7 linked regions of the Canis lupus familiaris genome follow. The protein of the gene in region 2 purifies or fractionates together with the protein of the main gene of each other region. This does not show direct contact. Links are inferred from orthologs where the notes say so. Each region holds a gene or a part of one and is shown on either strand. Other genes may lie near its edges.

Region 1 (2,259 bases), on a different chromosome or scaffold from region 2:
TTTTTCTTAACTAAAAGAGCATAGAAAACATATAGACATTTGCAAGTATTAAGACTAATTCTTCCTGAGATTTTTGTTTTGGTTATATGCATGAATGGGCCATGATGCAAAGTATATTTCTTTTTTTTTTTTCTTTTTTTTTTTTTTTTAAGATTTTATTTATTCATGATAGTCACAGAGAGAGAGAGAGAGAGAAGCAGAGACACAGGCAGAGGGAGAAGCAGGCTCCATGCACCGGGAGCCCGACATGGGATTCGATCCCGGGTCTCCAGGATCGCGCCCTGGGCCAAAGGCAGGCGCCAAACCGCTGCGCCACCCAGGGATCCCAACAAAGTATATTTCTTAGTGGAAAGAGGGCATAAAAGTCTCAAAATCAATGTATTAAGTGACTGTCTACAAAACACCCAGCCCTTTCTCCTGCTCTACTCCTATAATGCTGGCTGCTAGGCATTATCTCCTACAATAGATGAGCAGAATCTTTTTGTGGGAGGGGTGGGGAGTGCAAAGCTTCAGAAATGACTCTAGATCCTGAAATTTTGGGTTTCCTCAGTGAAGAGGCTAACTCACTTCTGAACCACCCTACAGTGAGACTCAAGCTTATGGGTCCAGCCTCCCCTCCCAGAACTTCTCTTCCTAGGATTCTATTATTTAAATAAATGGTCAAAGTACAAGATATTCAAGTCAAGCCTACAACATAAAGATCAAAGAGAGCAAATTTGGGAAAGAGAAAGATCAGTCAATCAAGAAACAAACTCTTAACTATGTAAGAGAACAAACTGATGGTTACTAGAGAGGAGGGGGATGGGGAGATGGGTGAAATAGGTGATGGGGGTTAAAGAGTACATTCGCCACATATCAAACTGTTGAATCACTATGTTGTACACCTGAAACTAATATAACATTGTATGTTTACTAACTGGAATATAAAAACCTGAAAAATCTTGAGTATGTCTCTGCCTCTATCTGTGTGTCTCTCATGAATAAATAAAATCTTTAAAAAATAATGTTTATAATCCTTCAAACTTACCAGCTTCCCTTTTCTTAGATTTCACCTTTGGTTCAACATCCACAAGTAGTGTATCCAGAGGTAAGCTGTCTGGTAGAATGAAATATCGAATGTTATTTCCTCGAATACTCAGTGTTTCCAGCTGTACTGGTTCTCTATTCTTCAAAGTCATTTTCACAGCTTTAAGATGTGTATTCATGCTGACATCTACACCTACAGGGGAAAAAAGAGAGAGCTTATTAGCATGATAAAGAAGGCAACCAGTAAATCTATCAAGCCGAAGTAAATAACACAATACAAAAGAATACTGCCCATTCTGCTACACTCTAGGACACTGCCTATTCTGTAAGACTCTAGGACACAATTTAGTACAACTGGTTAATGGGTGAATAATGTCAATATAAACCAAAAATCCTTTCTTCGGAGATTATCTCTAGTACATTAATGTTTTGCATGATTAGGTATGCTTACAGATGTGAATGCAGCAAGCCACGGAGGAACCCTGAGTGATACCTGACTCATTCCCACTGTGCCCAGGTATTCTCATCTCAGGGCGTTCTCACTATCTCCATAACTTCCTTATTCCCCATGTCACCAAGCTGTTAAGTCTTGTTTTATTTTTTATTTTTAAAGATTTATTTATTTATTCAAAGAGAGAGAGGCAGAGGAAGAAGCAGGCTCTATGCAGGAAGCGCGACATGGGACTCGATCCCAGGTCTCCAGGATCACACCCAGGGCTGCAGGCGGCGCTAAACCTCTGCGCCACCGGAGCTGCCCCTGTAAGTCTTGTTTTAAATAAAAGATCCTATATATATTGCAGTATTTTCCTTGTTACTAGGAATTTAACACATCTTTTTAACTGCTTTTTGAAGGAATCTTACTGTTTTTAGTACTTTAATTCCCAAGTTGCACAAGTTTTGAATGCTCTGCCTCAAACTATTTTTCCCATTGCTTTTAGTGTGAGATTTTGTAAAAGAAAAGCACAATTTTCTAGAATGAATATTATGGCATTATCTTAGAAATACCCAATTATTGGAGCCTTTGCCAATATATCTGAACAAATGGGTAACAAAAGACCTAGTTTATTTCTATTCCTACAAAGTTAGACCAGAAAACATGAATTCTCTTAACTTTCCCAACATCTACTTCAAATAGCAATTATGGTCAGTGCCACAGGGTCACTAACCATGTTACTGAAACCTCATATTATTCTGATTTCCTTTAAAGCAATTGGTGTCACATACACAAATATA
Region 2 (4,039 bases):
TCATTATCATTCTACATTAATAATAACAACGACAAGGCAGCCGGGGTGGCACAGCGGTTTAGCGCCGCCTTCAGCCCAGGGTGTGATCCTGGAGACCAGGGATCGAGTCCCACATCGGGCTCCCTGCATGGAGCCTGCTTCTCCCTCTGCCTGTGTCTCTGCCTCTCTTTCTCTCTGTGTCTCTCATGAATAAATAAAATAAAATAAAATAAAATAAAATAAAATCTTTAAAAAAAATAACGACATAAACCAGCTACGGAGTGTGTGCTTGTGAGAAAGAGAGATGGGGTAAGACATTTGGTAGGGCATCTTTTCCTATCCCGTTTCCATTTCGCAAGTAAAGAAATTGTTAAACTATCCAAGCAAAGGCTAAAAGTCGACCCGCGGTCCGGAGCTGGGATGGAGAGGAGAGGGGACGAGGTGGACCGGATCTCAGGAAAGGAAATGGAAAGAGCGGGATTCGAGGTGAGCTCGGTAAAACTAAGGAAGTGGTCAGGAGGAACGCACCTTTGGGAGTGAGGGACGGAGCTTAAAGAAGTCTTGATTCGAGACGGTCCACGGGGCTTGAGGGCGGGACCATGGAAGGCAGAGGGTGGAACCTTGAAAGGCAGTCCCACGGGAAGAGAAACCAGTGGGAATTTGATTTCGGGACTTGGGAAGGGAGTCTGAAGGAAGAAGGCATGAAGCGAAACCGGCTGAGGAAGGAGGCGGGGCCTTGAGGAGGCAGGTTGGAGGGGAAGGGGTTCTCCAAAATGACAAGCCAATGGGAGGGAGCGGAAGGCCCTTGAAGGCGGGGTCGGAGGGAGAGAAGAACCCACCTTTAAAGTAAAGGAGAGGGGGGGCCAGGGCCGTGGGGTGCGTGCGGAGAGCGTCCGGTGGGTGATGTAGAACGTCTCCCCAGGATCCTGCGTCGCAGCCTCAGCCCCTGTGGTCTGGTCGGCTCATGGAACTGCCCCCCGACGCGCCTAGGGCTCCGGGGAACCCCCACAAATCCTAGCTGGGTGCCTCGATCGCTGCCATGGCAACGGCGTCTCGCGCTGATCACTCCAGGGCGGGAGCAGGAAGTTGCATCATGAATAAGGGGCGGTCCCGGAAGTGCGTCAGCTCCTCCTCCTTGGCGTCGAGTCTCTCGGACGCCGCCATCTTGCGAGCTTGTTGTATCGTCCGTGCGGGGAGCTGCTTTGACGCAGCACCGCTCACCTTCAGCGAGGCGGACTGGCAGCCCTGAGCGTCGCAGTCATGCCGGCCGGACCCGTGCAGGCGGTGCCCCCGCCGCCGCCCGCGGCCACCGAGCCCAAACAGGTACCGCGACCCCCACACCTCGACCGGCAGCCCTATCCTCGGCTTGGGCCCTCCCCTCCAGCGCGGGCACTCCTCACTAAGGCAGAGGAAGAAGCGGCCGCTTACGAGGGCTTGGAGGACTACAAGTCCCAGGAGGCCGCGCGCTTCCCGCTCTGCGCGGCCTTCGGTAACGAAAGCGCCCTTGGAAGTGTGGTCCACGGACCAACAGCATCAACATTGCCCGGGAGTTCATTAGAAATGCTAGACCTAAATATTAATACATTTTTAATAAGATCTCAAGGTGATTGATTAAAGTTTGAGAAACACTGATTATGCCCATTCGCAGGTTTTCTGTGGTTATTGGGCCCACCTTTGGCCCTCCTCACCCTCGCCTTTCCCGCCGGCTTTTGCCCAGCAGTCCTTAATTTCGCATCCTGTACGGTACAGTTTAGACAGTTCACAGCATCTGCTTGGTGCTTACTCTAAGCCAAACACCGTACCATGCTCCGGCTTACCCAGAATGAATGAAGCACAACTAGTGTAGGCAGCTCATGGTTCTAGTGGGGAGGCAGATATAAGATGAATATTCTACAAATGTTTATTTTTTCGATCACCGTAAATGATACAGTCAGCACTTATTAGCTGAGAGGGAAAAGGGTGTGTAAATAATTGCAGTACTGTGTGATAGGCACTTTTAGTATCAGGTACAAAAGAAACAAAGCAACATTTCTTTGATGGAGTGTAGGGGAAATTAAAGTAGGTGAAGCCTACATGAGTGACAGGTAAATGGCTTTTAGAAGGATGAATTAGTAGTTTGCCAGACAGGTGATTGGAAAAGGTTAATGGCATCCTTTATTCATTAAGCAAACATTTATTCAATACATGCTATATGGTGACCACTGCTTTGGGTTTAGAATACAGCAGAGTACATGATAGAAGAGGTCTGTACCCTTACCACAAGTATTTTAAATATATCTGTATTCCTGGCATTTCCCAAGTCACTTGGGGAAAAGTAAACAAAGTAATACCAGATAATTGCAAAGACATCAGGGTAGGAATCAGATGATGTCTCTGGTAAAGAGTAAATTAAAAAGTGTGATTGAAACATAGGATTGGGAGAGTGGTGGCAAAAGATGCATTTGGGGGCATTTGAACTTTCCTAGTAGATAGTGGGGAGAAAGGGAAGAGTTTGGAGCTGGTTAATGACATGTTTGTGTTTCAGAAATTCAGGTAGGCAGGTAGTGATGAGAATTGCTAGGAGCACAGTTTACTCAAAAGATGCTGAGAGGTGGTTTGGGGGGGCAGACTGGATGGGCAAGCTCAAGTCACAATATGGCTGGTGGTACAGACTCTGCAACTAAAGTGATGGAATCCAACTAAAGTTTTGGAATCCTGGTCTTCCATTTGGGCCAGTTAAGCTTTATGTTCCTCAGTTCTTTCATCTGTAAAATGGGGGGGAATAAGAGTATTCACATGAAAGGGCTCTCATAAAGGCTATAGCGTTAATTTATTTAAAGTTCTTAGAAAAGTATATGGAACCTACTGCGTGCTTGATAAATGTTATCGTTGAATGTGGAGGCTGAGGAAGGGAAAGGAGGCCCATGTTTCTGCCCTGGATGACAGTATATTGTTGGCCAGTTATGAGAAAAGTGGTTAGAGAGGAAAGTGCCTGGGAGTCAGCTGGATCTGGAGTTCTGTGGCACACAAGAGTGATCGGGGACATCAATTTGTGTGTGATTGTTCAGCCTAGAAGTGGTAGGGGAAGTGAAGGACCCATGGTTGGAGTGCCTGAGGACAGTGTGAATACTGTGGAGAATAGAATTTTGGGGAACTCTAATATAGGGCAGGAGGTGAAACAGGAGCCAGGAAGGAAACTCGGATGGAATGGTGAGCAAGAAGGCAAAACACATGAGAATGGGGCCTGGGATTTGAGTGGAGAGGTTTGTGAGGGAATGGTCATGGTCACATGACCAGATAGATGACTGCTGTAGTTGGCTGTAGGCAGTCATATTTGACCAAATTTGGCAAGAGCACTTGAAATGGATGGGAACCAAACAGGAGCTGAGGAAATAGGTAGGAATGGCAAGACAGAGAACTCAGGAAATTTAGCTATCAGAGGAAGAGGAGGAGAGGACAGCCACAGAAAAGAATATGAGGGCAGGGAACTGCTATTTTTTAAGATGAGAGACTGACCCTTTGTTTACTAAGGGAAAGAAACTGGTGAAGAAAGAATATTGGAATTTACAGGATAGTTGATGTATATTCCAGTAGGGTTTCACAAAACATTTGAGCATTGAGTGGTAAAGACTGGAATAGATGCAGAGGAAAACGACATAAGGAGCTGCCAGCAAAGAATCGCCTATCTTTATTCAGCAGTCATTATCTGGACTCTTGGTACAAATGCAGATTCTCAGTGTCACTGAGACCAGCTAGCAGCAGGAAGCCAAGGAGGCTGCTCTCTTCACTGGTTCCCTGCGAGAGTTCCATGCAAGTGCTGTACAATTAAGAGAACTGCTTTTCTGGAGCAATGGGTCCTAACTCAAGAAAAGTTCGTAAGAGAGAGTCTATACTGGCAATAAATTTTAGAGGAGGTTGACAGTAGGGATCCAGTCCCCCAGATCAGGAGTGTCGAGACATCATTTTCCTTTCCTTTTGTTTTTCACAGCCCACAGAAGAAGAAGCTTCTTCAAAGGAGGATTCTACCCCCTCCAAGCCAGTGGTGGGAATTATTTATCCTCCTCCGGAGGTCAGGAATATC
Region 3 (4,126 bases), on a different chromosome or scaffold from region 2:
CTTGAGGATTTCTCTCTCTTTGCACCACTCCCTGCTCTCAGGCATGGGCTTTCATTCCCTAAAATAAATCAGTCTATCTATCTATATAAAATTGTTGAACTTTACATATCTTCTAAATATAATCCCTCTGATAATTACAATTAGTTTTAGAAGCCAAAATATGCACAAAACAGAATATTTGCAATTTAAATATCTATTACCATGAATATATAAGTATTTCTGAACAAATGCAAATAAAAACAAGACCATTACCAAGTTAATCTATGGGCCTATATGGCAAAAGTGTAGCTTGTTTCTCATTTTAAAAAGAAATACATTAAAAAAAAAAAAAAAAAAGACATACATAGGTCAGCCCCACTGGCCCAGCAGTTTAGCGCTGCCTACAGCCCAGGGTGTGATCCTGGAGACCCGTGATGGAGTCCTGCATGGGGCTCCCTGCATGGAGCCTGCTTCTCCCTCTGCCTGTGTTGTGTCTCTGCCTCTCTCTCCAAGTCTCTCTTGAATAAGTAAATAAAATCTTAATAAATAAATAAATAAATAAATAAATAAGAATACGTAGGCTCAACTGGCAGTATATGTACTATGGCTTCTTCAGGGAATGCTGCAATATTTACTCTGGGGGGCGGGGGGAGAATTACTCTCCACTAGCAGACACTTACCATATTCTATTGTTGTTCACTAATAATGTTTTCAGCCTTCTCAACAAAGGAAAACCATCCAGTTTCCTGATTTCATTGTCAGAAAAATCAATAGCATCAAACTGGTCTAAGGTAGCACCCAGATTTTCAATGACAGGAATTTTATACCCTGCAAAGTAGAAGGAAAAAAAAAAATACACAAGTATTGATATGGCTAAACGATACCTTAAAACCTTAGCAGTACTTCATGGTAATTTGACTCAAAGCTTCCATTTATTTAGAAAGTGTTTACCTGGTACCTGTGCTGTGCCAAACACTGTGCAAGTATCTGGCACATAAAATGAGGAACAAGGATCAGATGGCCCACTGCCACAGTCTAGGAGTGGACATGAAGTCAGTCATGACAACACCCGACACTTATTAATAGTAATATTGGTAGCTAACATTTGCAGGAGTATTTTTTAAGGTCCCTCACGCTGTTATAACCAAAGCTCCAGAAATAGGTAAATGGCATAATGAGAATTTACATTGTAAGCTGCTTTTTTGTCAGCGTCCAAGTCTTGTTCATACATTGTGGACAACAGCTCTTGACTCTGTTTGCATTCCCACAGGCCAGATACATAAAACTTACCAGGATATCCTTGTGATCTCATGACAGTTCTCCCTTACTGTACACTTCCCCCAGCTCCAATTCAGAGTTGAAGGTCAACAGTTTATACACAATAATACATCACCCTGTGAACAATTCACCAAACCCTCACGAGTTTGTCTTAAATGGGCATAACTACTGTGCTAGGTGCTGGCGGAAGAAAGAAACGAATCCAAGCCAAGGTTAAAGTACATAATTCAGAGCAACAAGGGTTGTAGCAAAGCAAACGCTATATCAAAACAAGTAGCCTCAACACTCGATGCACTTCACGCTTAGATGGTTAAAGATCAATCTTCGCCAAGAGAGCGACACTTAATTTCAACAAAATGAAAGCAGTCTGGCTTTGTCAGCAAGGAATCCAAGCTTAAGGCAAAGCCCACAACAGTGCTGCACCTCAGACGGTGTTCTTCTGTGGAGCCAAATCTCAGGCCCAAATTGTATTCCCAGAGAAACTGCTCTTCACATCATTCCTAGAGTCATTTCCTTGATATGCTGATTAGACAGCTGCACTCCCAATTTCCCACCAAGCCTTTACTAAGGTTGAAATGGCTACGTGAATTTGAATAGTTCAGAGCTTCTACCGCCTTACACAGGGAACTTGTACTGCAAGCCTCTTTAAAACCTTTTTTTTTTCTTTCAGTATTTTACTTATTGATTTCAGAGAGAGAGAGAGAGAGAGAGAGAGAGATGGCACAAGCAGGGAGAGCAGCGGGCAGAGAAAGAGGGAGAAGCAGGCTCCCCTCGGAGCAGGGAGCCCAATGCGGGGCTGGATCCTAGGACCCCTGGGGATCAAAGACACTTAACCGACCGAACCACCCAGGTGCCCCTCAAATGCTTTGATAAAAGAGAAATATGGGACAACTGAAGGGAAGAGGGAAGAAATCTTGCGGAAGCAATCGCTTTTGTTCTCCGACGTCATTTCCCCCCTCGCAAATTACAGGTAACACGTTCTCTTACTTACGCTCCCACAGTAACACCTGAACGTATTTACGAAGAACCAACCAGCCGCTGCGCACTAGCGTTACCAGCACGAACAACTTGCCAGCTCTCAAATAGTTGAGACTGAGAACTACGCCAAGCAAGGCCTGCCTGAGGCCCTCGGCTGTGGACCAGGAAGCGATCTACTGGCTGGGCGTGTGAGTAGGAACGAGGGTAACCCAAGGCTCAGAAGGGCCTAGGGATGGTCTCTGGCAGCACCGGGAAGACGCAGCCCCGGGCGGTGCTGCCACAGTCCGGCTCGGCGCCCACAAGGCAGGCCCGCGGGCCAAGCGCCGGCCCTCCGAGCACGCGGCTGGGCGCGAAGGCCCACCCACTCCTCGAGACTCACCCCGGAGATCCAGCTCGCGGTCCCGCACGGCGTTGGTGTACTGAGCCGCCTGCTCGATCAGCTCCGCCGTCAGCTTCACCATCCTGCTGCCTCCCGCTGCCGCTGCCGGTGCCGCGGCCCACCGGCTGCTTCCCGCCGCCTCCCGCCCGCCAGACTTCCCGGCGTACCCCGCGCCCCGCCGCCAGGCCTCACCAATCGCAGCCGGCGCATGCGCGCGCCGCTCGGCACCCAGGCCGAAGTAATCGATCGTGAGCAACGCCCACGATCTCGTCGTCTGCGGAGCTGCTGGAGCGCGCGGAACGTGTCTCGGGTTCTGGGTTTTTCCTTGGGGCGTGCTTGAAGGAGGGCCCCTGATTCCTGATGATGCTCTTGTCCGCAAGTTAAGCAAAATGTAATCGCACCCGAATAGAACTTTCTCATGCATCAATGCATTTTGAGGCGGGAGGAAACGCTGTGTCTGCCCTCGCCCCACCCAGGAGGGACGGGCACCCGGGGGATCCAGTGAAAGGTTCAGGACTTCAGGATTCCCGCCCCACCAGGGCAGGGTCGATCACAGCCCGCCCCGCTGGGATCGTCTTACCACCTAGCGCGCCCGACCCTGCCCCGCGCACAGTTCAGTTTTCGGTTAGGCTTGTGACCTCCAGGTATTTAAATATTTAACAGAAGCACGGGATACAGAAGAGTGCGCAAACCAGGAATCTGCAACGTGAAGAATACCCGCAGAGGGAGCGCACCTGCGTTGCTGCCTCCGGGTCCAGAAAAAAGAACACTTTTCCGAAAGCCTCCATCCCTTCCCAAAGGCAACCAGGAATCCCAACACCACAGATTAGTTTTTGCTTGCTTTTGATACAAATAGAGTCACGCAGCGTGCTCCCGTGCCTGGTGTCTTTGGTTTTGTGTTATAACTGGAATCCGTCCCAGGTTGCATCCAGCAATGGTTTGTTTACTTTTCGCTGCTGTGCAGAATCCCATGGTATATCTCAGACCACAATTTAGCCATTCTGCTGTTGATGGACATTAGGATCGTTTTGTCGTGGGGCTGTTCCGAATACCGCTATGCATTTTTGTTGTACGTGGATCCAATGCACACGTGTCCAAGTTTCTCCAGGAGTAGAGCTTCTGGGCATAGGGTATACTATCATCAATAAGTAATGCCTAACAGGCCAAGAGGCTGAAATAATACTAATATACATACTCTAGCTGTGTGCAAGAGGGTTTCCATCACTTCCAACCTCAGCCCCTTTAGTATTGCCAGTATAACTGTGGGGACTGGGGTGCATGGGTGGCCCAGTTGGCTAAGCGTGGGACTCTGGATTTCTGCTCAGGTCATGATCTCGGGTAGTGGAATGGAGCACGACCATTGGGCTCAGCCAGGAGCCTGCTTGGGATTCTCTCTCCCTCTCCCTCTGCTCCTCCCTGTGCATGCAAATTCTCTTTCAAATAATAGTAGGGCAGCCCTGGTGGCTCAGCGGTTTAGCGCCGCCTTCAGCCCAGGACGAGATCCTGGAGACC
Region 4 (4,293 bases), on a different chromosome or scaffold from region 2:
CAAGTACCCTTCCTACAGAAATATTTAATCCTCACAACTGTTCTATGAGGGGTATTTTTATGACGCACAGTTTGCAGACAAGGACACTGAGGCCGAGAGAGGAAATAACACTTGCTGTTCCCTCTGGCTGAAACACTCAGACCCTGGCTTCCTCCTTCATTGTATTTAGGTCTGTTCATCACGGTCTCTTCCTATGGAACCCCTAGCGTTACCGTCTAGGACAACACCTCCTTCCCAGCACTCCACACTCTCACCTGCCTTTACTATTCTTATGACACATTGTTTGTGTGCTTGCTGTTGGTTTCCCTACCTATGGCATAAGCTCTCTTAAGTATAGGAGTCCTCTTTCAGTCATTGCTGTGTCTCTGGAGCCTAAAAAAAGTACTGGGCATGGTACTTTATTTTTTTCTTTTGGGGCATGGTACTTTATATCGTAACTGCAAAACCTGATTAATAAGAGCTTCCTGGTGCCAGATGCTGTACTTCTAATGACTGTATTACACATCACATGTATTAAGTCACTGAATCTCTGCAATCACCAGAATTACTGCCATTGAATGGAAGAGATAAAGTTACTTGTTGAAGGTTTCATGGCTGCTAAGAGGCAGAGTCGAGACACAAACCCAGGAAGCCTGGCTCCCAAGTACATGCCCATCACTACTGTACTGCACAGCTGGAAGGACAACAAGACACCATTGCACTTTGAGGTCTGAATATGCTTATGCCCCAGGACTCTGAAAACCTTGTATTTGGGTTCCTCACACTGGAACTGTGTCTGCATTTCCAAGACAGAACACCTTCCAGGACCCAGGTGCTTACCTGTCGAAAGCCTTCACACGGCCCAGGAGCTTCTTGTTGTTGCGGCAGTTGATAAGCACCTGGGTGTTGTTCTTGACTGACTGTGTGAGCACAGAGAGCGGACCCGTGTTAAACTCTTCCTCCTCCCGCTTCTGTAGCTCCTCTGGGGTCATCTCACTCTTGGGTTTGTTGAGGAGGCTCCTGAGGGGCAAGCATGGAACCCGTAGGTGAGAGGCCCAGAGCTAGAGCGTGGGTGGTCACATGATGTCTCCCCAACCCACCCACCCCCCTGCTCAGTCCCTCTTGCATGGCATCACCAGCTGGATGCTGAATAGACATTTCCAACCGTATACATCCTCAGTTGAGCTCCAGATCTCCCAATCACTCAAACCTACTCTTTCCACAGCCTTCCTCATCTCCATCATTCTAGTTCCTTGAGCAGAAACCCTGATATCAACTTGACTCTTCTCTCTCACATCCTACATTCAATGTCAGCAAATTCTGTCATCTGCCTCTAAAATATACCCAGAATCTGTTTCTTACCATGGCCTAAACCTCTATCATCTCTCTCCTGAGAGCCTTACTTGTCTCCCTACCTCAGCCCATGCCGCTGACCGTCTGTTCTCCACAGCAGTCCCAGAGGTTGTATCAAAATCTAAGTCATATCATTTCACTCTTCGAAACCCTCCCATGGCTCCCATCTCTGTGTAAAAAGTAAAACCCAAAGTTTTTACAATGCCTGGCATCTTCCCATCCTTCTCTGTTCCAGCCAGTGGCCTTGAAGGTGGTCCTTTAAGATATTAGGCAAGGGGCGCCTGGGTAGCTCAATGGCTGAGCATCTGCTTTCGGCTCAGATCCTGACCCAGGGGGAATCCCTGGGTGGCTCAGCGGTTTAGCGTCTGCCTTTGGCCCAGGGCACGATCCTGGAGTCCCGGGATCAAGTCCCACATCGGGCTCCCTGCATGGAGCCTGCTTCTCCCTCTGCCTGAGTCTCTGCCTCTCTCTCCCCCTATGTCTATCATGAATAAATAAATAAAATCTTAAAAAAAAAAAAAAAAAAAGATCCTGACCCAGGGATGCTGGGATCGAGTCCCACATCGGGCTCCCTGTGGGGATACTGCTTCTCTGTGTCTCTCACAAGTAAATAAAATCTTTAAAAAATATATAAGATATTAGACAGACTTTCACCTTGGGCATCTCCCTTCGTTTTCCCTCTGCCTGGATACCTCCCCAGGTATCTTTGTGGTTCTCAGGTTCTTCAGGTCTCTGCTCAACTGCTGCCTTCTCAATGTGTCCTGCACTGGTTATTGAGTTACTTTCTCTCAAAACTAGTACTCCCCATTGTTTGGATCCTGCTCTTTTGCTTCTTTACTCACTTAGCTCTGATCACCTAACACACGCCATACACTTTACATTTTTATCACCGGTGTGTTCATTGTCTGCCTTTTCCCACACCCATAAGCTGCAGCAGGGCATTTTTCTTGCGGGATGGGGGTCGCAGTCACTGATGTATCTCACGTAGTTAAAGCAGTGCCTAATACATGAGTGCTCAATAAATAATTGCTGAATGAATACCAAATCAGGAAAATCATTAAGGCGATTCGTGAGCCGAAAAAGTCGCGAATGAGGTGAACTTCTCCAGCTCAAATTGTCCGGGTAAGTCCCGTACCTCAAACCGTTATTTCTAAAACTCCGCACTCCCGTTTCCCAGGTTCTTTGCTTCCCCTTAAAATCCATTTCAGCGAGACTCATTATCGGGGAAATCCCGGCTCATTAACTGATCAAGTGCCTTCCCTCGAACTCAGGACCCGTAAAAGGCCCCATGCCCATCCTCAAACTCGTCAGAACGGTGCGTACTTTACCCCTAAAACCTCTGCCTCCGATCCCGCCTCGCCCACCACCGGCAAACGGCCACATCTACGCCCTCGACCCCACTCCCGCCGGGCCTCACATGGTGGTAGCGGCTGCGCTCGCAGATCAGCTCCGTCTTCCCCGCGTTGCTCCTGCCTCTGAAGAGAGGGCTACAGGCGGGACTTCCGTTTCCTGTGGCCGACTTCCGTCGGCGCCTGCGCAATCCCAACCTGCACGGTGTGGGCGAGGCCTGTTGCCGTGGCAATCCGCGCCGGCCCCGCGCAGACGTGGGGTAGAAGCACTGCGTAGTAGCTCAGGGTCTTTCAGGACCATATGGAGAGAAGACAATGGAGAGAAGAATAAAGCGGGTCCGACTCAAATCGTTTCGTTGTAGAGCGGCACAAGCTGAAGAAGGGACAGGACACGGCATTCCAAAAGCCCGCCGGCTCCGCCCTCGGGGGCGCGGCCTCCGTGTAGCCAATCGGCTCCTCGCTTCTGGGACGGGCACCGCCCCTTTTCCATCGGTGTCGGTTCGTTTACGTGTCTATTGATCTTTCCGACTTCGAGTAACCAATCCTTTGCCTTCCTACGGGAGGGGCGGAGACCTGCTCCTTGGTCCAACGTTTTTCAGGATCAAACATTGCTCATTGGCTTCCGTTCCTCCGTTGAGGCGGAGCCTCTCCCTTTCGCACTACCCTTTTGGGTTGTGCAACCCTCAGGGGAACCAACCCCAAAGCCCCAGGGAGACAGGAAGGCGTGTTCTCAGAGTGAGGGTCGCCATTGGTTTCACTGACCGAGGGTGGGTGGGATGGTGCAGCCGCTCTTCGTGTTTATTGGTTCGGTGATTCCATGGGGTGGGATTTGGCTGGGCCTAAACTATCCGCGGTCCGGGACCGGTTTCGGGGCGAAGCTGCCATGCCTTCCGGGGGCCGCGGGCGGTCCCGGCTACGGCTCGGGGAACGTGGCCTCTTGGAGCCGCCCTCCCCGCCCAAGCGCCGCCTGCTCCCGCGGGCGCACTTCTTGCCTCTGCTTCTGCTGGCCCTGGCCCTGGCTTCGGCGACCTACACCATCTGGAGCGGCTGGCACCACCAGACTGAGGAGCTGCCGCGGGGCCGGGAGCTGCGGGTGAGGCCCGGCAGGGGCACGGGCACCGCGGGAGCCCTCATTCCCCGCCTCCCCTTCCCTGAGGTCTCAGGTTGACGTGGCTGTGTCGTCTGGCCCAAGCTGCAGGTGCTGCGGTCTCCGTCGATAGAGCGCATGCCCGTTGCTAACGAACTGAGGCTTTGGGCTTGTTCTGTAATAGGTGGTTCTACCTAAGAGGGAGAGTCTGCAGTAGTAACACTGGGAATTCTGGGTTCCAATCTGAAAGTCAGCTATTTGGAAGAGTCCCTTCCTCTCTCTCGGCCTCGATTTCCCCATCAGGATTGAGGTGGGCTGGACCTGGTGGGTTTAGAGGGACTTTCCTTAGCCTAGGATTTCTTCTGGAAACCTCCGATGCTGGAGGTTCGAATTAGGAAGAAGAACCGGGGCTTCTTAGGTGCGATGGCGTCCGGGTTAGGGTTGGAATGGGGGTTGCCCTCACGTTCGGTTCTTCTCTTCCCTCTCCTTGCTCCCTCCTCCTAAGGGCCGCTTGATCGGAAGCCT
Region 5 (4,287 bases), on a different chromosome or scaffold from region 2:
AGGGAGCCTACTTGTCCCTCTGCCTGTGTCTCTGCCTCTCTGTCTCTCATGAATAAATAGAATCTTAAAAATAAATAAATAAATAAATAAATAAATAAATAAATAAATAAATAAAATCACCAAATCTCAGTTCCAACTATCAGACAAATTAGGTGTGTGTTCTGATGTAAGCCTGCCTCCAGCTATGCAAAGCTCCCCATCACAAGGCCACAGCAACATCAGACAGCTCACCTCAAATGGGTTCAAATTGAAGTAGGAAGAACCAGGACGGGTCAATCTTTCAATCTGATTTTTGGATGTTAGAACGGAATCTCTCTTCTCTATCTGTTTCACCTAAAATGAAGGGAGATAAAAACTTCATTAGTAAAGTTCAATAATAAACTCTGAATATTAAGCTACTGACATGTTCAGCAAACATTTGTCTACATGTGGAAGACAATTTTTTAAATGTTTTGAGGAATAATTCCAACAGCTATCATCCACTGAGTTCTAATAATATAAAAACTTGACACATATTTATCCCTCTCAACCATCCTATACAGTTTTTACTATTACCCCATTTTACAGTTAAGAAAACTGAGATTTAGAGAGGTTAACTGTCTTGTTCTCAACTACCCAACTTGTAACTAGAATTTTAATTCCAACAGTCTGAGGAATCAAGAAGATTCAAACATAAATATGTCACAGCCACCACCTTCAAAGAGCTTCCACTATAATGATGGAAGATGTACTTGTGCTGTTCATACTTAATTTACAGCTTTTTATTTAAAAATACAATTACACTGAAATATATACTAAAACAGCATTTAAAAAAATAAAATAGCATTTAAAAAAGTATATGGGAAGGGCAAGTAACTCTGCCTACCTAACCTGAATAAGAGTTAGAAAAATCCCTGGCCCAGGGGCTCAGTTGGTTGGATGCCGAGCTCATTTCCACTCAGGTAGTGATCTCAGGGTCGTGGGGAAAAGCCCTGTGTCTGGCTCTGTACTCTGTGCAGAGTCAGCTTGGAATTCTTTCTTTTTCTCTCTCTCTCTGCCCTTCCCCCCATATACATACATAAAAATTAAAAAAAAAAGAAAAGAAAAGAAAAGAAAGAAAAGAAAAGAAAAAAAAAGAAAAGAAAAGAAGGAAAGAAAAACCCCTGACCCAAAGACAATGCTAAGAAGAACAGACATCAGGTAGTGCCAGGAAAACATTCTTGGTGCCACTGTCAGAGTTATAATACTAGTTGAAATGAATCACTGGTATGTTATATACCATCTTTATTCCTATGAACAAAAAGAGTTTAGGAATAATTTCAGTAATCTAAAAGGCCCTTCCTTCTCAGTATCCTTCCTTTTTGCTTTCTTTAAAACAACATGCCACTCCCCACCCCCTCTACTCTACCTTCTTTCCCGAATTTATTTTCCTCATGGTACCTATCACTACCTGATACAATATTGTATATGTTTGTTTATTGCTTATCCTTCTCTATAGAATGCAAGCTCTATGAAGACAGGATTTGTCTCTGTTGTTCACTACCATACCTCTAGCAACTAAACAGTACATTAGTACATGTCAGGTACTCAAAAAACATTGGTTGAATGGTAAATGAAGGGTGCTCCTTTAGGTACTTTCTCTCATTAGATTCAAACAAACCAAGATTGCTTTTCTTTTTTGTTTTCTTTTTTCTTTTAACTAAGATATAGTAAGCGAAACAATTTTCAGTATTAATTGCAACAGAAGTCCATCTTCAGCTTTAACTCTTTGAAAGACCCTTTCTTATACATTAATTCCTTTAACGCTCATAAAACTCTTTTTTATTTCTTATTTTTTTTAAACTCATTTTAATATTAACTCTCACTTTACATAAGTGGACACCGAAGATCTGTAAAATCAATGCCTTGAAAAAATGCAATCACGGTCCAATAAACTGTGTTGCAAAAATCCAATCCAAGGTCCTCTGATTCCAAACGGCATGCTTTTCTTTCATTTATTCATTCATTTATTCAACAAATATTTACCAAGGAATCACCATGTTCTAGGCGCTGGAAACACGACAGTAAGCGAGGCTCAGACCAAAGTGACTCCAGTCCTAACATGATACCAAGCTGTGATCTGCTTTAGGATCCAGAACAAATTATTTCACCTCCCTAAACCTCAGGCTTGTCATCTGTAAAACAGATAATGCTACCTGGCACGATGCATAGTGCCTGGCGTCCACAAATGTCAGAAACAACCACTACTACAACTCATGACAGAGAACTAAAAGTGGACAGTGCTTCCGTTTAGAATAAAAATGAGGTCCACGATTAGTTAAGTCGCCCCCAAGAAGGTCAGCCTCTGCCGGCCCCTGCCAGCCTCCGACTCCGCGGACTTCGGAGACCTCTGCACGCGCCCAGGCACTTCGTTGGCCACACTCGTCGTCTACCCGCAGACGTGGGACCCTGGCCCCTTTTTCCAAGCCCAAGGGATCCCCTAGCAGCTATCAGGCAAAGACGCAAACACACCCCCAGCTCGCCCCCCCCCCCATCCCCCGCCTTCCCGAAGGCCGGACCGGAGGAGCCGCCCAACGGTCCAGGCCAGGAAGACCACTGCCTTTGCCCGCTGGGAAAGTAGGACCGGGCGGGGTTGCCCTGGTGCCATTACACCCCACTCGGTGTTCACCTCACTGTAAAAGGTCATAAATGCTTCCTCGGTGCTCCCTCCGCCAGCCGAAGCCCCGCTCTCTCCTGGAGCCGCCATTTCCCCGGCCCAACAACCACGTGACTCTCCTGCGCAGGCGCAGCCTCCTGTGATTCTTACAGGCCCGCCTCTCTAGCCCCGCCCCTTTCCTTGTGACTCTTAAAGGGTTCGCAGCCCAGCCAGAGACCTCTAACCTAAACAAACACTCATTTCTAAATTGACGTGGGATCCACAAAATATATCATTGAAATTAATAATTCGGTGTTTCTGAGTACACTTACAGTGTTGTGCAACTACCAACCTCTATCTAGTTCCGATTTTAGTATATGTGTTGCCTAAGGAGCACGTCACTATCTAGTTCCAAAACAGTTTCATCGCCTCAAAAGGATACCTGGCACCTATTGAGCATTTCCTCCCCATTCCCCCTTCTACTCAACCCCTGACAACAACCAATCTGTGGTCTGCCTCTATGGACTTACCTATTCTGAACATCTCAAATAATTGCAATCACAGTATGTGACCTTTTGTGTCTGCCTTCTTTCACTGTGCACAATGTTTTCAAGTTTCATCCAAGGTGTAGCGTGTGTCGTCATTTCATTACTTTTTATGGCTGGATGTTATTCTGCTATATAAATATACCACACTTTGTTTTCATTCATCAGTTGATAAACATTCGGGGACACGTGGGTGGCTTGGTGGTTGAGCATCTGCCTTTGGCTCAGGTCACAATCCTGGGATCCTGGGATCCTGGGATCCTGGGATCCTGGGATCAAGTCCCATATCGGGCTCACCAGGGAAGCCTGCTTCTCCTTCTGCCTATGTCTCTGCCTCTCAATCTATGTCTCTCATGAATAAATAAATAAAATTAAATTTTAAAAATTGAGGGACGCCTGGCTGGCTCAGCGGTTAAGCGTCTGCCTTCAAGCTCAGGGTGTGATCCTGGAGTCCCCGGATAGAGTCCCACATCCCGCTCCCTGCACGGAGCCTGCTTCTCCTCCCTCTGCCTATGTCTCTGCCTCTCTCTGTGTCTCTCTTGTGGATAAATAAATAAAATATTAAAAAAATTTTTTAATTGATAAACATTTAGATTGTTTCCATCTTCTAGCTATTGTGAAATGATGCTGCTATGAAAATGTCTGTACATGTATTTGAGTACCAGTTTTCAGTTTGGGGGGGTACATATCTACAAATGAAAGTGCTGACTCTTATGATAATTCTGTATTTAACTTTTTAAGCACCTGCCAAACTATTTTCCACAGTAGCTGAACCATTTTACATTCCCACCAGCGATGTACAGGGGTAACGGTTTCTCCACATCCTCACCAACACTTGTTATTTTCCATTTTTTAAAATTACAGCCATCCTAGTGCCTATACAATCCTTTGCACAAACTCAGCAAGACCCTCCATTGAATGCCCAGCCTAGGAGATAATCAAGAAACAGCAATACCTGAAAACTAAAAACAGAGTTTCTGAAACTAGAATGGCACTTATATACTGTCTAGAAACACAGGAAATTATTACCACTAGTAGTGGGCTTCTAAGTGATTATTATTTCTATCCTTCTGCTTTTGTATTTTTCCAAGCTTTCTGCCATGAACTTTTGAAAATGTGCCCTGCATG
Region 6 (3,500 bases), on a different chromosome or scaffold from region 2:
CCATGCTGACTGCTGGACTTCTGCACCCAGCTGGCCTGGAGGATAGCCGCGGATCTCCGTGGCAGCCAGGGCCGGGAAACGGAGTGTCAAGGGGAAATGCTGAGGTTCTAAACCCCTTCTTTCCATGCTCAGAATGACCATACTCACTCTCTGCTCTGTGCTAGTCACAGTGCCCCATGCACATGCGCGGACTCTCCGGACTCTCACCCCCCTACCTCCAGCAAGGCAAGATCACCACCTGGATTTTTACATAAGCAAAATGTGAGGCCTCAGGGTGTGAAGGGAGCATATGACCTGGCAGCCAAAGTCCTGACTCCCATGCTCCTGTCTGGGGTCTAACACACCTCCACATCCAGAATTAGAAAACAACGAAGTGGAAACTACATCTTTAAATCTTTACCCTTCAGCCTCTGAGATGTCTCCTGCCATGATAGGTGTGGACCTTCCTGTTTGCATAAAGGATGGAGGTGTGACAGAAGGGACCTGAGACAGCCTGACATGCAAGCACCAGATGAGTCCTTCTCCGCACCATCCTCAGCCAGACCCCGGCAGGTTTCCTGGCAGTAAACGTGAATGCGCGAAATGTCGCTAAAAGCCTGAGATGCTGCTGAAGCCGGCTCTGACGACACACCGAATGCCATGCCATCCCTGTGACCTGGGCCCACGCTGCTGCTGTTGCCCAGGAGAAACTCGCCCGATTCTGCCCCTCAGAGAGGAGCACCACAAAGCCGGCCTTCCCCCCATGGGATAAGCACAGGCAGATGAGAACTTTACTTAACATTACACAATTTCTAAATTTGGACTTAGGTATTTCAACCATATGTACCTCTGTCACGAGTCTCTAAAAGACCAGTAATGAAACATCTAGGAGAAGGATCAACAAACACAGCTTTTATAATGGGAAGGGTCACACCTGCCCAGTTCCTGGACTCTGGTGGCAATGTCACAGTTTCCCTGGCTCCTGGGTGCCTGGAGGAGGGTGGGCAGAGGCCGACACACGGGGCTCCATGTGAGCTCCACGGGGCTCAGTTTCTCTGAGGCAGAGAAACTCTCAGAACTCAGAGAAACCCATAGGAAGGTGAGCCCTCCCCAGGCAGCAGCCCCGACAGAGCTGAGACACCTCCTTCACAGAGCAAAAAACCAAGGAAAGTTCAAAGGGATCTTGGGGGTGCCATTCTCAGCCCAGGACAGGGACACACGTGGCACCCAATGCCTGAGGGAACCTGTGTGCTGATGCTCTCCAGAGCCTAGGGCTCACATGGCTGGGGACAACTTCATACTCTCTCAAAAGGGAAGGAAGAGGCCGAACTGTTCCTTACACTGTGTCCCGGACATCTCTGGTGATCCGGTAATTCCAATCTCGGAAAACTTCATTTTCTTTATCAAACTCCCGTTCATCTTCGCCAATGGTCACCGTAAACCTTTTTTCTTCAAAATCAGGCTCCTGTTCTTTTCGAATGGTTGCTTTTTTTAAAACCTACCATCGTAAGGAGGAAGAAGTCAGTGCCAGTTACTGTTAGGAAAAGCAAAGGGAAGCCCATCCTGATCTGACCCACAGAGCCCAGGCCAGAGTGGCAGAAGCAGCCCACTTGAGCCCGTGGTAGGGGAGATGCGCCTATGCTCTAGGCCTGGAGCACTCCATTTCTACACCTGGCAGTCAGGACAGGCCGGCTCAGCAGTGCCTCGGAGCTTGCTTCCATTCCAGAAAGGGGTGACAGAGCTGGCCATCTCCTAGAAATAGTCCTAACACTGAGATGGGGAGTGGCAGAGAGTCACTGTGAGGTGGCCCAACACAGAGAGAATGGTGAATCTGCTCATGGCAGAAAAGCCACATGCAGTGGTTCCGGTCTCAGAAGAAAGGAGAGGTGGTGGGCTGTGTGCTGAGTGAGGGAGGAAAACCTCATTGGAGAGAAGTAGGGGCTCAGAAAGCAGGCCCAACAGCTGGGGCCATGGTATGACCAGAGCGAGTGGGGAGGGAGAGGGCGGCTCCTCCACTGGCAGGGGTCTCCCTGCGCTACATCTATGAGGAGTGGCTCTGGGCAGCCAGGGGCTGCAGCAGAGCAGCAGCAGCTAGGGTGAATCTGCTGCCACCCAGGCCACAGGAAGGCAGTGGGCCTGTTTCGTGAGCTGGTGCATCGTGGAGACATCGACAGACATCAGTTTCCACTCTTAACTCTTCAGAGAAATCACAGAAATATACCCCTCACTTCAGAGACTTCACTGGGTTTTCAATCGTTGTCTCTGAATCAAAGAAATGCTACTTTTGCTCAAGGACTGCTGCTAGCATTTTCTTCTCGGGCCATCTGGTTTACCTCCTTTGCGTGCCGGAGTCCTCGTTCCCAGGCACTCTCTGTCGGGGGCTCTGGAGGGGGTGGAGGCAAAATTTCATCAACTACTGGCCCACCCTATTAAAAAACGAGAAGGGAAAAGTTGAGAAAGCCAGCAAAACTTTAAAATCTATAAAGAAACAGGAACAAAAACCCCAGCTAGAGTATCTTTCGGCTGTACACCACCTGCTCTCCAAACCTTGATTTGGTCCCTAACCCACAACCCTGCCCAAATCTAGGATTACCTCCACATGGAGATTTGGAAGCATCTGGAAGGTAACTCAGTGACTGTGTGATGTCACAGAAGTGCCTTTTACACGGGGTGTATTAATGTGCTGTAAGCTGAAGCTTCAGAGAGCTTAGATGTCCCATTTGCTAGCAACTAAAGAAAACAGATGTTCACGCACCCATGGGTTGGCAGGCATCAGTGGGTGAGGTCCAAGAGGCGGGGCACCATTAGGCGGGAAAGGTTCGGCTTTGGTGATTAAGGAATAGTTGCCCTTGTCGTTGACTCCAGGGTGTATAAACCTACAGTTCATTCCCCATGTGCAGTTCCCTATGGAGACAAAAGCCAGGTCAGAAAAAGTAGAAGAGAACCAGAGTGCAGGAGGTCAGCTTCCTGTCCGCTTTGCCTGCAGCGGCAGCTTGGGGGCAGTGCCAGGCCTGGGAGGGGTCCCGCGTGTGCCCCCCAGCTCCTAACACAGCCCTCACCATCTCATAAGTGGTGTGAACCTGAGGACAGGCTCCAGCAGTGGCAGCAGAGTCAGAGCTCAGAGCAGGGCTATCCAGGCTCGCTCCTCAAGGCTGAGCCAGCACAGCAACCACCGCCCCCCACACCCGGGATCCCCACCTCCACACATGCACCAGGTCCTCCTGGCAGGCAGGCCTGGAAGGTCTCAGGCCAGAGCCTGGACTGAGGAACTTCCTGTGAGCGGGATTTCCTAAGGGCTCCTGAAAGGGGCAGGGGTCATGTGGTCAAGGAAACATGGCACCCCGTGTCCCTAAGTCACTCTGGGAAGAGTTCATCTGGCCCTACAAATAGAGACGTCCCAGAGCTTCCCAGTCACAGGTGGCCCCCTGCTCTGCGAGGCACTCTCTTGCTCAGGTGACCCTGCAACCCCACAAGGGCTCAGAGGTATGTGTGTGTAAGATCCTTATCTAGATTCAAAACAC
Region 7 (4,076 bases), on a different chromosome or scaffold from region 2:
GCCCTGATATCTGGCCTGCTCTGCCTTCTGTGACCTGTACCTTTGAATCTGTCAAAGGTGTCAGTTCTTTATCTGTAAACTAAAGATGGTAATTCACCTTCTGTCTCCATCAGAGAAAAAAAAATGTGAAAATGTAACCAGTGTTTTATGATATGCAAAGAACCCCAATACCCCGCTAACAGTAAGAGCTACAAGTTGCACTTATCGGTAATTACAATCTTTTAAATTCCCATAGATCTACAAAGCAGACACTGTTTTTCTCAATGTAAAAAAAAAAAAAGGAAAATGAGATACAGACTTGGTTAAGTCAGCCCAAGGTCATAAAGCTTCTAAGCAGTGATACAGAGGCATGAACTTGGGCAGTGTGGCCTGAGTCTGTGCGCTGCACTGGTCTGCTGGGAGTCCCACATGGGTGGGATTTCTATTCATACTGGATTCAAGGCAGATGGTGAGACATGAGGGCCCACCAGCATTCCCACCAAGTGACTTCCCACAACTTACCTTCTGGATAATCTCGGGGGTCATTCCCACCAGCTCACCCAAATCCATCGGCTCACCTGCACCCTGAAGACAAGAAGGTTAAAGGTGAGGGAGGCACAGAACACCCAGGACACTTGCAGGAGAGCCACATGAGACATTGCACACAGGGGCTGCAAGACAGGCAGGAAGGGGGAGGTGCACTCACTGCAACACTTGGCTGTGAGCTCGGCACAGCCTGGGGCACGATGAGTCCAGCCTGTGGTTTCAGGGTGGCCAGAGCTGAGAGAAAAGAATACATTAAAAATGGGGTATTACAAAGCAGGACCAGCCCAGAGTGGGGGATGTTGGGGCATAGGTGGCACCTTCTCGGGCGGCTGTAACTTCCTTAGTGAGCCGGGCAATAACACGGCAGGCAGCATCATGCTGGTACAGAGCGTGGGACAGCTCTTGACGGGTTGTCTGCAGCTGCTGGCGCAGAGTGAAGCTGTGCAGCATGACTGCATCCTGAAGAAGGGAAACGCCACTGTGAGGGGGTGAGGAGGAGCAGGGAACACCCAGCAGAAGAGTCAGCCCTTGATCAAGAGATGAAGAGGACACTGCCCTGTATTCCCACAGCCTAGACCAGTACTGGTAACCCAAACAACACGTGAGGGACCATGAATGTGCTGGTGGCCACTCTGGAGCTGCTACCTCATACCAAATACTGGGCACAGACAGGAGTGGGAGCCAGCTCTTTCCCACCCTCATCGCCTCTGATTTATAGGCAAATCTCGACGTCATTCCGTCACCTCCCCACAAGGGAATCATAACACTAAGGCTGCCATTAATCAACTGCCCTCACTGTGCCGGGTACTGTGCGAGACGACCACTCAAGATGTAGTCACTCATTCGTCTTCCAGAGCACCACTACATACCAGGTGCTACCCTTGGTGCTGGGGATATACCAATTAATAAATCAAATCCCTGATGTCGCAAGGTTTATACTCTACCTTTATTCTAATTCTGTCCACACCCTGAGAGACTGGCACAAATCCTTGTCGTAGAGTCAGGAAAACCAGGACTCACATATGAGCAATATGCCCAAGGGTATGTGGCAAGGGAGCAAGGGAGCTAACTGTGGAACCCAGATCCGTGGGACTTCAACAACCAGGCTCCTCCTCCACTATCATCCTGCCCCTCAAAAAAGAAAATAATACTCCGTCTTTCCCCACCCCAAGTCCTAGTGCAGTGATCCCTTCTCTTCAAGCAGACAAACATCAGTTCTGTTCCAGGGACTCACCCACTCATCCTGCAAAGCTTTCAGAATGGCTGGGATGCTGGTTGCAGAGGGAGGCTTGGGCCGGATTGGGTGAGCAACTGCCAAGAGAGGGAGAGCGGGTATGAAGAACTCTAACCCGGGGACTCCTCATGTCCCCCATCTCTTTCCCCTTTAGCCTACATTAACAGAACACCGTCTCCTCCTCCAGTGCACTGGTGCCACCTCCCAGCCTCTCAAGCTCTGAGCAAAAACAGCCCTGGATGGAGGCCAGCCACCAAGGCACCTTTGATATCGATGAGCTGCTCCTCAGACAGAGGCTGGTTGTTGATGGGGTCTGTGCCATTCTCCGCAATATACTTCTCAATGAGCCGCCGCTCATACACATGATTAGAGACAGGGGACACACACGGGTGCTCTGGCACTTCATTGGAGACTGTGGAGAAAAGGCAGGCGGTGAGCGCGGGGCGGTGAAAGGGACCCTGGGGCAAGGCGATGCCTCACAGGCTACTGGCCCCAACAAAACCACACGTCCCCACTTTCAACTAACAGAAAGCAGGACACGACACTACTTTTGTAGTATCCCCAGCATCCTTTCAGCTACATAACTAGCTTCTCCATCATTCTCCTGGCAGGTAGTCAACCAACAATTAGCACACAACTGCCACATGCCACACATCTACGGAGTGGTCAATCATCAATCCCCACCCGTCTCCGTTTGGAAAAAGATGCCCAGGCACCCATCATACTGGAAGACACAGAGATACACACGGCTACTCAAATCTCAGTCTAGAGCCAAGATGGATTTTGGACCAAAAAAAAAAAAAAAAAAATCACAAAGCTCTCTGACGAGTGTTACATTAAGAAGAAACACTTATATGGTGTATCAGGTGCCGAGCATGATCGTAAACATTTTCTATAGATGGGCTCATCCTCACAGCAACCCCCGAACACACCTGCCTCAGTAGACTACACACCTCTGAGGACAGGGATTACAGCTGGTCTGACTTCCAGCGCGATGCAGATGCCCAGCAGGCACCCGGTACACATCCAACGAAACCATCAAATAAAAGGAAGAATGGTGCTGGGAATATGGGGGGGGGGGGGAGGGGGGGAGCGGGGAAAAACAAAAACAAAACAAAAACAAAACAAAAAAACTTCCTCGAGATGGAAAGCAAACAACGAACGTGAAATATCTTGCAAAAGCTGCAGTTTCTTCGCTATGAAAGATTCCTTTTTCCTGGCCCTCATTTCCCTTCCTTCCCGTCTCCCTCCGTTTGGATTCCCGGAGAGGTTCTGAGGAGAGGAGAGAGCTCAGGGCTTGCGAGTTCGGAAGCACATCCGAGAGGGATGCTCTAGCAGCCTGAGGACACGGGAAAACACCTGCGCGCCGCGTCAAAGTGCCGAAAGGGAAGACGGTACAAGGCAGGAAAAACAAAAAAAAACAAAAAAAACAAAAAAAAAACCCAAAACGCCACGGCTCCTCCGGGGCTCAAAGCGGCCCCCACCCGGCTGTGCCACACTCTCCTCCAGCCTCAGGCCCTCATCTGCACACCCCGTCCTTCATTTCTGCTCTGGAGAAGGCTTGCGAGGGATGCACCGAGGTCGGGCCCGGCGCGGCGGCCAAGGGCTCAGCGAAGGCGCCCTGTGGTGTGGTCGTGCCCCGGGCTCCAGCCCCGCCACTGCCTCTGACGCGCGGCGTGACCTTCGCAAGCTGCAGAGGCTCTGCCCGCCCGAACGGGCCCGCACACGCCCGCCGCAACGCCCCCTCTCTGCAGACGGGGAAACTGAGGCGCAGAGCCCGCGTCCGACCGCAAAGCCGGGGGGAGGGGCGGGGGGAGGGGCGGGGTCTCCCGCACCGGCTCCCCCCGTCCAGGCCCCGGCTCAAGGCGCGAGCGAGGTCCTCGGCCTCGGTGACGTCTGCGACCATAAACCTGAGGCGCCGCGTCAACCGTGAGGCGCTGCGCGAACGCATCCCACGCCGCGGAGGAGGAGGCCCCGCGCTGACAGGCCGCCGCCCTGCCCCTCAGGGGGCCCCGCGGGCGCCTCCTCCCGCTCCGACCCGCGACCCGCCGCAGCCCACACTCACTCGAGCAGATCAGGGACATGGCGCCGCCGCAGCGCTCCGAGGCGCCTCACGCCGGCCTCGGGGCCTCGCTTCCGCGCCGCCGCGGGCCGCTTCCGGTTCCCCGCTGCTTCCGGGACGCTCCGCGGCGAGCGGCGAGCGGGGGGCGGGGGGCGGGGGGCGACCCCGCAGAGCGACGCTCGCGCAGCGCTTCACGTGGGAGTGCGGTCGGCGGCGCGCCTCAGCCTCCGGCACCTATAACGGAAACTGCCCTTT

The links.
Region 1: the proteins of SF3A1 (region 2) and SNRPD1 fractionate together in Homo sapiens (co-fractionation; 4 studies listed by BioGRID and IntAct, with this or other methods). This does not show direct contact. The link is inferred for Canis lupus familiaris from reciprocal best matches to the Homo sapiens genes SF3A1 and SNRPD1.
Region 3: the proteins of SF3A1 (region 2) and SNRPA1 purify together in Homo sapiens (affinity purification with mass spectrometry; 6 studies listed by BioGRID and IntAct, counting the BioPlex papers as one, with this or other methods). This does not show direct contact. The link is inferred for Canis lupus familiaris from reciprocal best matches to the Homo sapiens genes SF3A1 and SNRPA1.
Region 4: the proteins of SF3A1 (region 2) and SNRPD2 fractionate together in Homo sapiens (co-fractionation; 3 studies listed by BioGRID and IntAct, with this or other methods). This does not show direct contact. The link is inferred for Canis lupus familiaris from reciprocal best matches to the Homo sapiens genes SF3A1 and SNRPD2.
Region 5: the proteins of SF3A1 (region 2) and DNAJC8 purify together in Homo sapiens (affinity purification with mass spectrometry; 4 studies listed by BioGRID and IntAct, with this or other methods). This does not show direct contact. The link is inferred for Canis lupus familiaris from reciprocal best matches to the Homo sapiens genes SF3A1 and DNAJC8.
Region 6: the proteins of SF3A1 (region 2) and ZC3H18 purify together in Homo sapiens (affinity purification with mass spectrometry; 3 studies listed by BioGRID and IntAct, with this or other methods). This does not show direct contact. The link is inferred for Canis lupus familiaris from reciprocal best matches to the Homo sapiens genes SF3A1 and ZC3H18.
Region 7: the proteins of SF3A1 (region 2) and PRPF19 fractionate together in Homo sapiens (co-fractionation; 3 studies listed by BioGRID and IntAct, with this or other methods). This does not show direct contact. The link is inferred for Canis lupus familiaris from reciprocal best matches to the Homo sapiens genes SF3A1 and PRPF19.

Annotation. Positions count from the first base shown.
Region 1 is NC_049228.1:66,463,568-66,465,826, forward strand, and holds part of SNRPD1 (small nuclear ribonucleoprotein Sm D1), read right to left. Parts: intron 1,220-2,259; coding exon 1,028-1,219; intron 1-1,027. UniProt on the Homo sapiens protein: Plays a role in pre-mRNA splicing as a core component of the spliceosomal U1, U2, U4 and U5 small nuclear ribonucleoproteins (snRNPs), the building blocks of the spliceosome.
Region 2 is NC_049247.1:23,910,286-23,914,324, reverse strand, and holds the start of SF3A1 (splicing factor 3A subunit 1), read left to right. Parts: upstream 1-1,239; coding exon 1,240-1,302; exon of another isoform or gene 1,303-1,350; intron 1,351-3,946; coding exon 3,947-4,039. UniProt on the Homo sapiens protein: Component of the 17S U2 SnRNP complex of the spliceosome, a large ribonucleoprotein complex that removes introns from transcribed pre-mRNAs.
Region 3 is NC_049224.1:40,139,848-40,143,973, reverse strand, and holds the start of SNRPA1 (U2 small nuclear ribonucleoprotein A'), read right to left. Parts: upstream 2,801-4,126; 5' UTR 2,697-2,800; coding exon 2,615-2,696; exon of another isoform or gene 2,098-2,614; intron 808-2,097; coding exon 660-807; intron 1-659. UniProt on the Homo sapiens protein: Involved in pre-mRNA splicing as component of the spliceosome. Associated with sn-RNP U2, where it contributes to the binding of stem loop IV of U2 snRNA.
Region 4 is NC_049222.1:110,602,083-110,606,375, reverse strand, and holds the start of SNRPD2 (small nuclear ribonucleoprotein Sm D2), read right to left. Parts: upstream 2,801-4,293; 5' UTR 2,752-2,800; coding exon 2,750-2,751; intron 1,000-2,749; coding exon 820-999; intron 1-819. Other genes in the region: QPCTL (glutaminyl-peptide cyclotransferase-like protein), read left to right, coding at 3,499-3,774, 4,274-4,293. UniProt on the Homo sapiens protein: Plays a role in pre-mRNA splicing as a core component of the spliceosomal U1, U2, U4 and U5 small nuclear ribonucleoproteins (snRNPs), the building blocks of the spliceosome.
Region 5 is NC_049223.1:71,586,672-71,590,958, reverse strand, and holds the start of DNAJC8 (dnaJ homolog subfamily C member 8), read right to left. Parts: upstream 2,801-4,287; 5' UTR 2,726-2,800; coding exon 2,648-2,725; intron 334-2,647; coding exon 232-333; intron 1-231. UniProt on the Homo sapiens protein: Suppresses polyglutamine (polyQ) aggregation of ATXN3 in neuronal cells.
Region 6 is NC_049226.1:65,225,645-65,229,144, forward strand, and holds part of ZC3H18 (zinc finger CCCH domain-containing protein 18), read right to left. Parts: intron 2,884-3,500; coding exon 2,735-2,883; intron 2,406-2,734; coding exon 2,313-2,405; intron 1,478-2,312; coding exon 1,320-1,477; intron 1-1,319.
Region 7 is NC_049239.1:55,998,423-56,002,498, reverse strand, and holds the start of PRPF19 (pre-mRNA-processing factor 19), read right to left. Parts: upstream 2,801-4,076; 5' UTR 2,786-2,800; coding exon 2,713-2,785; intron 2,172-2,712; coding exon 2,022-2,171; intron 1,837-2,021; coding exon 1,760-1,836; intron 985-1,759; coding exon 843-984; intron 760-842; coding exon 686-759; intron 565-685; coding exon 502-564; intron 1-501. UniProt on the Homo sapiens protein: Ubiquitin-protein ligase which is a core component of several complexes mainly involved pre-mRNA splicing and DNA repair. Required for pre-mRNA splicing as component of the spliceosome.